2 linked regions of the Arabidopsis thaliana genome follow. The protein of the gene in region 1 interacts with the protein of each later gene in a pairwise test. Each region holds a gene or a part of one and is shown on either strand. Other genes may lie near its edges.

Region 1 (4,931 bases):
CTCATTTAACATAATGAATAGAGATATCAACATTAGATACGTCTTGATTATTTGCTCACCAATGCATTTGCGTGTTTAACTTGTTTATATGTTATTAATAGTGTTCTTTTAGTTAAAATGACAAATAATTTCTTAACTCAAAAGCATCTTATATCACAACTCTAGCTAGATTAGTTTAGCTTTTCATAAGTCTTCTTGCGTTTACGTCTTTATTTATGGGTTGATACCCTATTCACTACTTTAATTTGCCTTGCACTTGGGATAGTTTAAAAGACTTTAAAATTATGCAGCTAGAATATAATCAAAACTTGATATAAGTATCAAAATAATTAAATACAATTGCTATCGATAATAATCAGAAACAATCGTTATGAATGGTTAAGTTTGTTTCCTTAAAATGGTTACGAATGATTAATTTTGTTCCTTAGGTAAACTAAAAGTTCAAAAACAAATCCAACCTACTACAATCTAAGAAAACTGACAAAGTTTATGGTTGATTACAGAATAGGTCGCTTGAGCGTCAAATTAAGATAAAGAAGGAGACTTATGTAGAGCCGGCCCTTGGGCCAACCAGGCGAAGCATAGGTTTGCAGCTGCTAATAATATAATTTGAGTTTGGCTTTTTTCTAGAAAACTTTCTTTAAGTCTAGTGGTTCAATTATGGTGGGTACATCATCAGTTCATGGGTTTGACTTTTGAGACAAGTGAGACCGAATTTTTTTGTTTTTTCAACAAAATTCTAAAATAGATAAAACTTATGCGGCCCATTTCATTGTTCACTTGTAGGCTTGTAAAACTCAAGGCCGGGTCTGGAGTGTGATGTCAAGACTCAATATTATAACACTCTACTTCATATTTCACTATTTTGTGCATTATCTAGCTTCCAATTTTCTTTGCATTTCACAGTGTATCAATAGTTACTTTAGTGATGTCAAGATTACACTTTTAACACATTTTAAGTGTAGTTTTACAACATAAACTTGTGTCTCTAATTGGCAAAGTGAATTGCTAACGAGATCATGAATTCTGACTGTTGAGTCTGAGCGAATGAAACAAATGGACCAACATATGATTAAGGCCTGGAGTGACATATAAGCCAAAAAATAATGCTCTATATTGTAACACTTAAAAGATCTTACACAGTACGGTCTCAAGGAGGAAGAAAACATATTCCGCAAAGCAGATCCTTCCTTCAACTTCAACATATTAAATGAAAACAGATCTAAGAGACCGTAATATTTCGATCCTAGAAAATAAGAGAACTCGAAGGATTTATCATAGACAACACAAAATAAGAACGTACGTTAGCAAAGATCATAATATGAATCTATTATTCATATCTATTGCCAACATGTTTATATATATATATGGATATGGGTTTAGGTGCCTCGGGCTAGCATTTCTTGATACCTCTTGAAGGACAAGAGTTTCTGAAGCTTCATCTGCTTATGAAACCTAGAAATAAAGAGATCCGCGACATGGTCGATCTCATCTTCTAGCTTGAAATTCTCTCCTTCTTCTTCCTTCGAGGTCCTCACCATATCTATCACAGAACTACCTTGACCTTCCTCCTCCAAGTCCCCGAAGTCCTCCTCTCCTTCGAACAACGTGTGCCTCAGATCAGGATACTTGTCGCTTTCCTCCTCGTGAACGTCATATTCCTCATGATGAGCCATTGTGGATGCCTTGCTGTTGTAGAGGACTATAGCCTTGTTCTTGTCTTGGTCCTGGTCGTTATCGTCGTCTTGATCCGCATGGCCCAAGAGGTGGTGAATCTTGTTGGAAATGGAACGGAACCCGAGTTTCTTGTGTTTCACTAGAGACAACATGAGTACTCGTGTCTTGAAAGCACTCGTTTTGTTCTTTATGGCTATAGATTTTGCCTTCGCCATGGAACTCAACAATGCAACGATATGTTTCATCAATGCCGTAGCTTTCTTCATATTTTTTCTTTGTAAGAGCTTCTATAATAGTGTTTTACTTATGTTTTGGATGTTGCTTAATTAGCATGGAAAGGAACATTGGAGGTGAGAGCCCTTCGGGGATTATATAGACCATGGAAAGGTACGGCCACAAGTCATGGCTTTATGAGTCTTGTCGTATGTTTTTAAATTAACGGCTATATGTTTTACTTAATGGCGCAGCAATCTTCTCACAGTTCGCCACGTGGAAATAAGCCATTTGATGTAGTGGATCACTTGCTTTTTCTAGTTCAAACTTTATGCACGTTCTCTTTTATCAAATTTCATCGTGCCTACAATTTACGAACGTAAGCATTTGATATTTCTATATTACTTCTTTCTATGATAAAGGATCTCAAGAAATTAAGTTTATGTTGATTTCGTATAAAAATGTGGCCTAACGAGGTTGCTTTGCCGATGAGTCGGGTATGTTTTTTCTTATAAAGTATCATGCGACATAATTCATGCCTACTATGAATTTAAAATGGTTATTATTTTTCGACTAGAAGTCATGTTTGGTACGTCAAAAATATGGACAAAGTTTTTGTAAAGCCAACATGGCGTTTTTAACATTCTAAATGTTTAAAGGGACTCTTGAGTGGTTCGGGTGTTGAGGCCTCTAGACTCCGGATCATACGTTCCAACAATTGGAGCCTCTAGTCAACAAGTGGACTCTAGATCGCATTGTTGCGGTATGGTTATGAGAGAGCACTTCTGAAGAGCTTCAACATAAAGAATTTCGAGAGTAAAACATCTCAAACGGTTTTATTTACGCGTTTTGCATCCCGATCGATTAATCTCTGAAATCCAAAAATTCACCCCCAACGAGTATAGTTGAAATGGATCGATTAGTCTCAAGTGGAATAACTCTTCTGTAACTTCTTTGTTTGATTTTTGTTTTTGTGAAGAATGTACTATTTAATAAGAAAGATTAATTAGAGCAGTTGGGACTGAGATTACAGAATTTGTAAATGACATAGATACATCCACAAGGAATTCAAACTATTGTCCACTTCTTCTTTGAAAAGATTTGATTGATTAGCAACTTTGTTTTTAAATGTGATTAACTTTACATACGAAAGCAATTGTACAGCTAAGTTATCTAAATAAAAGTGTCATTTGTTACCCAAAAAGAAGTTCCATCAACTTTGTGTAAAAATATGTTTTTATAGAAAAAAACTCAGAATTAGGAAGATGCTTCAGTAAAGTTACAAAAACAGCTTAAGAGATCCAAACGTAAATTCATTGTACTTCTCTCACAACTACTTTTACTTTAATTTTTTTAATAGCTATTCTTATTTACTTTTTCTAAAAATCACAAAGATGAGATGGAGAAAAAGCATTTGATGTTTTTGTATAATTGGAAAGTGTTTACTCACTTGGTCTCTCTCACATTTCAAGGCGCCGCGAAATTGCTTGCTCATGATATTTAGCTTTACAAGATTCTCTTTCACTTAGAACCACACTTCAATCCCTATACTTTTCTAGATTTCTAGATTTTAGATATTATACATTGTCGATGTTGAAAGGAAAACATAAGATATTATACATTGGTCTTGTCATTTATCAATTATTAGTTTTAAGATTGATGTCAAAAGGAATAGTTTCATTGCTCAGTATCCAAATTTGCACAAAACGAATCGAGTTGTTTCGATTTTAGACAATAGAGTACAACCGATATTAACAAAGAGTTTCTTGCAAAAAATGGGGTTCAATTGTTGTAGTATGTCAATATGACCATAGATTTCAAAAAACTTCTCCAGCTCAGAGTTTTAGATCTCAGCCCGTAAAACATATTTCCAGTCTTAATGCATGTTAGAGCCTCGAGCCATCGGATAAGACATTCCCATATTAGATTGCAGAAGAGATAAAATTGGAGCATTGTTTAGAACAATTCTTATTCCAATTCATCAAACCAGAGACTAAACTCTCAACCAAAAGCTAACATCTTACAAACACGTCACTCACCGATGTGTAGCGTTCAGTCCTAACCTAGTTAGCTAAAGTTTAACAACTTCATCAACTTAACTTCATAAAGCAGGCCGAATATCTCATGTTAAGTCAAGTCTGAGTATCTTCTAGTCATAGATAGCAATATTACAATTCTTTTGCACAAGTCATTAAAATTTAACCAAGGTTGTTTGTTCAAATTAAAGAATTGTAAACATGAACAAGAAGCCAGACAACTGATGCAATCCGAGAAAGATTTAAACTTAAAATGAAAGCATATTCTGTTTCAACAAGACCAAGTTCTGAACAATTACTCAGCTAGTAGTTTTATCATGCATTCAAAATCTTCTCATAAGCAGAAAAACGTCATAGATATCAAAACTACTAAAGCAAAACATCTGCGAACGGATGAATGATTCGTGAGATCTCAATCTCACTTCTTCCTGAAAGAGCATCCCTCTTGTAGCCTCGCTTTACCACCGGTGGGCTGGCACAGAACTGTCTGACAGTTTCCACATACCACAACAGTTTGAGAATGGCTGAACACAGTGGTTCTGCAAAATAACAACAAGCAATTCATCACAAAGTGTAACCTCTTTACAAATTCACAATCAATACTTATTTAAGAGCTGGAAAAATTCTACCAATACCAAACTTCTAGTTGATAAAACAGCATTTAAGCTGAGCAAAATCGACAATTCACAACTGATTCAATAAGAAAACATTCAAAATAAGGTATCTAAAACACTAGTTTCGTACCAATCTATATATTCAAGAATACAACATTCAAATCAATATGTTTTTAAGTGTAACCTCTTCACATCAATACAAATTCAAATGATGAACAATTTCTTCCAAATACCAATCAATAGGTTCAATAAAACTTTATTCAAAATAAGCAAAACCAAAATCACTACTAATCTAAAACAGTGAAAGCTTTCCTCTTTATAAAACAATCTTTATTCAAATCCAATACCAAACAACATTGTTAAGACTCTATACAAAATTAGTAAACTCACA
Region 2 (5,626 bases), on another chromosome or scaffold:
ACATTCTATTGTAATAGTTAATAATATGTGACTATACTACTATAGTATACAATTTTTGTTTAAGTTCTCTCTTTTTACAACCGTGAGATTCTTGGTCGAATTCATACCAATCTTCAGAATTTATGAAAAAGTATGATATTATTTTCATGTAAAACAATTACAATAACAAATCATACTTAAAAATGTTGTAGTTCGAACCATGATCCTTTAAGTAACATATGTTCTTCAAGCTCTATGGCCCACACAATAGTGTAGACCTTCTTCTTTTTTGGGTGTAAAATAGTTAGTAGTCTAGATAGTGTAGAACATATGTTACTTAAAGGATCTATATATCTATCCAATCATAATTCGTATATATAGGGAAACCTTCACATTTACGTTTACTTATCAGCCGTTCGTATAAAACACACAATGAACAAGATTTCTTAACCCAATCGTTGCTCAACTGCATGTAAGGCACTTGACATGAGCACATGGATATCTTAAAAAGATAAAGTCACAGTGCATGTATCGAAAAGGTCTCAAAGTACATTACCCTTTATTCTCTTTACATGGTTGAAGCCCTAAAATGTCAAATATATGAAAATTATGAAAATAAGAGGTTTTTAAACCATCTCTCATTCTCATTGTATAACAGTAAACATGATGAGACTCCATTTCTTATATACATAAATGTCACCTGTCTTCTCTTAGAAGCTCATTGAAGATATTTCACCACAAATCTCCTTTGGACATGCATTGGTCATGTACAAGCTTTTCCTTTCACTTGATTTTCTTTTTAAATATACGTTTTCATACGGTCCATACATAGTTTCCCTAGGGACTTGATGCATTCCTCATTTTCACACATCTTTGTACTTAAAGCCCCACTTGGCTGTGTTGTTATAGACTTTCCTAATCCTCTAAAAGGAAACTGATAAATGAAACTCTGGGACAAATTTTTCATATTTTGGTTTTGGCAGGTCATGTAATGTTCTCGTGTTTAAGCCATTAACTTGTAACCGTCGAAAAATCATGTTTATATCGTTGTAACGGGTGGGCGAATCTTTTCTTATAATCGACAAAAATATAGTATGCAATTATCACAGTAACCGCTGTCTTTAAAACAAACTCATAAAATTCTAAATAGTTATTTAGTTTTTCGTAAAATTTCTAAAGCGTTATTTACTTTTTGGTAGATTCTTAACGCGTTATTTTCGTGATTAATTGATAAAAACGAAGAAATATTCATATTGATCTCATCGAAATACAATGTAGAACTCAGTTGGGTGAAACATGTACTAAATCAGAGATTCCATGCGTAAACAAGATATTCAATCTAGAGATTTTCAAATCATAAAATCTCGAAGATTCATGTATGGTATCTAGATGAATTAAAAAGAACAAGATGTTTGATTTGTTGGTTGATTACTTGATAGACATAGTAACATAGATTGAGTGATTACCTTTGATAACTACTCAAAAAGGGGATTACACATACCACATCCATGATATATACAAGTATGAGCCATTTCAATATTTCTATAAAATGTACTCAATAACTTTTTTGTTATCCAATTACAAAGGTAACTAAGTGATATATAAAAATTGGCTTCTAATAGCACTTTTATTGTGAACTCAAGCATATAACAAATAATATATAGGGACAGCACGAAACCCTAGTGATTAAAAAAGAAGAGAAAATGCAGATGGAGAAGTATATCATCTCAAGACGAATTCAAATATTCATATATGATCAACTAAATTAAAAACCAAACGATCCCCAAACAATGAAGATGATTTTTTTTTTCTTTTAATTTTGAGAAATGAAATTTGGTTACAGCTATGTTACGGACATAATTTTCAATTCTAAAAGGCTGGTCTTGGTGGTGCGGCTGCGGCTGCGGCTCCCCAACCAAGCAAATGAGGATCACCGGCAAACTGATCATAACCACTCATGTTACCTCTTAACTGTCCTTGACCGGCTCCAGATGGTGGTGATGATGACGTGGCCGGCGGTGGACCACCTTCTCCTCCTCCTCCCTCTCCAACTTCTCCTCCCTCTCCACCTTCTCCTCCTTCATCTTCAAGGGGAAGCCTTTCGAAAGTTGCATTAGAGAACGATGCAGCCATTAGTATCACTGGACCCGAAGCCACAAGCGGAGCCACCACGTTTCCTCCAATCACCTGACCTTGAACGCCGGAAAGAAAGATAGAAAGACCACCGGATCCTGGCGGCGCAGGGGGCGGCAACACCGTACCTGTGAGGGAAAGTATCTCAAACCTTCCATGTAGAGCCACAACACCTCCGGTTCCACCATTTGCCCCATGAGCCGCTGTCGTTGCCGGCTGCCGGAGACTGACGTTAGCCACCGTGCCGTTACCACTGAGAATGGAGACTCCTCTTCCTCTCCTGCGAGCGTAAGTGGTAACGCTCTCGACTATGTCGGCTCCAGATGAGACTTCAAGAACATGAGATCTAAGCACGTTGGGGCTATCTCTAGTCACTATCACCGGTGGCTTCGGCTTGTTCTTGGATCCCGGAGGACGTCCACGTGGACGTTTCCCGGTTGAACCAGAGGTAACTGGGTCGGAACCCGGATCCTTGTTGGAGTCAGATTCATCATCTGAATTCTGCTGCTGAGGCTGAGGTTGAGGCTGAGGCTGAGGCAAAGGGTGAAGTTGAGGCTGAGGTTGAAGCTGGTGATGAAGCTCAGGCCTGAAGAGGTTGTGAAAGTATCTAGAAGCTCCTCCGGATTGATCGTAACCACCGTCCATGGCAGCCGCATCTACTGACTCTTCTTGTTCTTGTGGCTCATATATATAAAGATATTGTGAGGGTGAAGATAGAATTCATATAAGAGAAACTTTGAGATCCATTGGAGAAGTCAAATTTCAGGAGGTGAGGAGCCAATAGCTTGAGTTGATCGGTTACACAAGCCGACAAAAACAGAGCTAAGAGACACAAATCTAAAGGGTATGCTTTGTGTGTTAAACCCTAACTCGCTTTAGGGCAAGAGAGGAGAGATTCTTCACCCGAGACGGTGTCGTATTAATTGATGTGAAAGAATTCTAGGGAAGCTTCAAATTAATTCATGTGCTGAGACTGAGAGTGAGTGACTCTGCAAGTACTTTTTTTGAACGAGGAAAGGGAAAAAAAAAGCAATAGACACACCGAAAATTTAGCTGAATATCATTCCTTTCGCATTAAAAAATAAAATACGCATAGGGGCATATATTAATATACGAATAATTGCATATTAATAATATACTTGAAATCCATGAAAAGACAAGGGTTTCGAGTTTTTCTTCTCTGGATATATGCGTTTCCCTTTTTGGCATATAGCTTCAAACCAAGAAAATAAAGGAAAACTTTTAAGAGTTAAAATTTAAAGAAAAAGGAAATTAAGAAATTTACAATTTAAAAGCCAAAGGTATATGAATAGGAGATGGAAGAAACATGCTGATATTAAATTGTTGGAATTTTTTTTTATTTTTTTTGATAAAGTTGTTGGAAATTATTATATAGAAAACAAACGAGAAGTCTAAATATAAATTATTGTATAAGTTTTTGAAAGTTACATATCAAATTTGTCCGCATAATAATGCAGTATTCCCTAGAAACAAATGTAATACTCCCACCATTTATCATTATATGCTGTTTAAAGTTAATTAACATATAGTATTAAAATTTAATTAAAGTTTCACTTCTATCTTTCATTAATACACAATTATATTTCTTTCATCAGTTAATACGTTAGAAAAACATAGATTTTTTTTTTGTCAATCTGTTAGAAAAACATAGATAAGACATGAAATTTTAACAAAAAAAAATATTTGCATTGAAAATATAAAATAAAATTTATCCTGAAACAAAATTAAAGTCTTAAAACGACACTTAATTGAAACAGAATAAACAGATGACAAAAAGTAAAATAAAAGTGAATCAAAAATGTTAGCCATGAATCGAATTGCCTTGAAGCGTGTGCATGTAACGCCTTCCATTATGAATTTCATCATTTTCTTTAAAACCGAGATTCTACCTATTCAAAACTAAATTCAGTTTCAAAATGTTTTTGGTCTTGGTCATATATTCTAAAACTAATTAAAAACTATTACCATGAGTGAGTGCACTTCAATTTTTATTAAACTAATTATAAATTATTATTGATAGTAAAAAAAATATAGACCAAACTATTTATTATCAATGTATATTAACTTTCTAAGTTAGAAATTCATGAAATTCGATATAATCTACATAAGGTACCCCAAAAAAGTGTATACAGATTTTAAGTGGGATTTGTTTAAAATAAACATATAAAAAGCATCATCTCTCCAGTGACATGTGTTAAGTTTCTACATTGAAAATTTCATATTTACATCAAAAGTTTGAAAATATCAATATTATATAGGGTAATATTAGAAAGTAACCATGGAATTGAAAAGAATTGAGAGAATAGCCTTGTGTCAGGAAACTTAGGTAAATAACATTTTCTATGGTGGATAAAATACTAAAATATCCTTAGATTTTCTTGTTTTTACAAAAATATCGGTGGTTGTAGTTATAAAGTTTTTATGTATTTGTCTAAAATAATATGATATATTTACAAAAGAGCATGCAATTCTTTAAAATACATACAGAATATATATACACGATATATATGTTTCTCTGAAATAATGTGTTTTTCAGAAATAGCACGAAATATTTATAAAAAGCATGCAATTCTCTTATAGATTGCGAAATTTAAAAAATTACAATATTACATGGGTTTTTATTGGATAACATGACAAATATTTATTTATTTCATGAGTTTTTGTTGGATAGCATGACAAATATTAATATATTAGTGTTAATAACATGTTTTGTTCTTAAAATACATGCATTTTAAAATCAGATATTTGTTTTAAAATCAAATTTAATCTCTTATATCACAACGACATTGACGGAGAATTCAGGTAAAAAGAGAAAATAAAGAATGAGAGATAGAGAGATTTCTATGGAAAAAGAAAGAGAGAACATGTGGGTGAACAAAAATAAAGAGATATGATGATATATTTTATGAGAGGTGGTGAAGATTATTTTAGGAGAGGGAGAGAGAAATAGAAAAAGAAAATGACATGGTGAATCTGAAGAAGATGAATTGTGTTAAAGATGAAAAGAGAAAGAGAACTCTATGGCTAAAGTCTCGTAAAGAACATGAAAAAGAAATAAAAGAAGGAAGAAGAAAGAGAAAGGCTAAAATAGACTAAATATTGCCAAAATTTCTGTAACCGACAAGTACTATTTGGTTCTAAGTTATTTTGTGTATTCTTTTCAACTCAAAGGTTATTTCTTACATATAAATATGAGTCAAACCATTCTTTGCTTTTTTTGCAATTTATGAAACACATTTTTAGTATGTTAATAATTATAATCTAAATGTCTTTTAAATTTTATCAAGTATAGAAAAAATTAAGACGTTTTTTTTTTCTCTTTTTTTCCTGTCAACGATGTTCATTGGACCTCCTCTCTCAGTCTTTTGCTAAGAGGTGGAACTTAACATTTATTACACTATGCGATAATGTATTGCAAATTAAATGTCTTTTCAGTATTCTAACATAGAAGAAAATAATGATCGAGATTCATTAGTTTTGTAATCGAACTCTC

What was found. Proteins that work in one complex are often made in the same cells at the same time.
Region 2: the proteins of AT5G47920 (region 1) and SOB3 interact in a two-hybrid assay, tested with the Arabidopsis thaliana proteins (one large-scale study listed by BioGRID).

The regions. Positions count from the first base shown.
Region 1 is NC_003076.8:19,402,079-19,407,009, forward strand, and holds AT5G47920 (transcription elongation factor), read right to left. Parts: upstream 2,070-4,931; 5' UTR 1,944-2,069; coding exon 1,380-1,943; 3' UTR 1,093-1,379; downstream 1-1,092. Other genes in the region: AT5G47930 (Zinc-binding ribosomal protein family protein), read right to left, coding at 4,345-4,465, 4,931-4,931.
Region 2 is NC_003070.9:28,702,663-28,708,288, reverse strand, and holds SOB3 (Putative AT-hook DNA-binding family protein), read right to left. Parts: upstream 3,327-5,626; 5' UTR 2,758-3,326; coding exon 1,849-2,757; 3' UTR 1,598-1,848; downstream 1-1,597. UniProt on the Arabidopsis thaliana protein: Transcription factor that specifically binds AT-rich DNA sequences related to the nuclear matrix attachment regions (MARs). Acts redundantly with AHL18, AHL22 and AHL27 in the regulation of flowering and regulation of the hypocotyl elongation.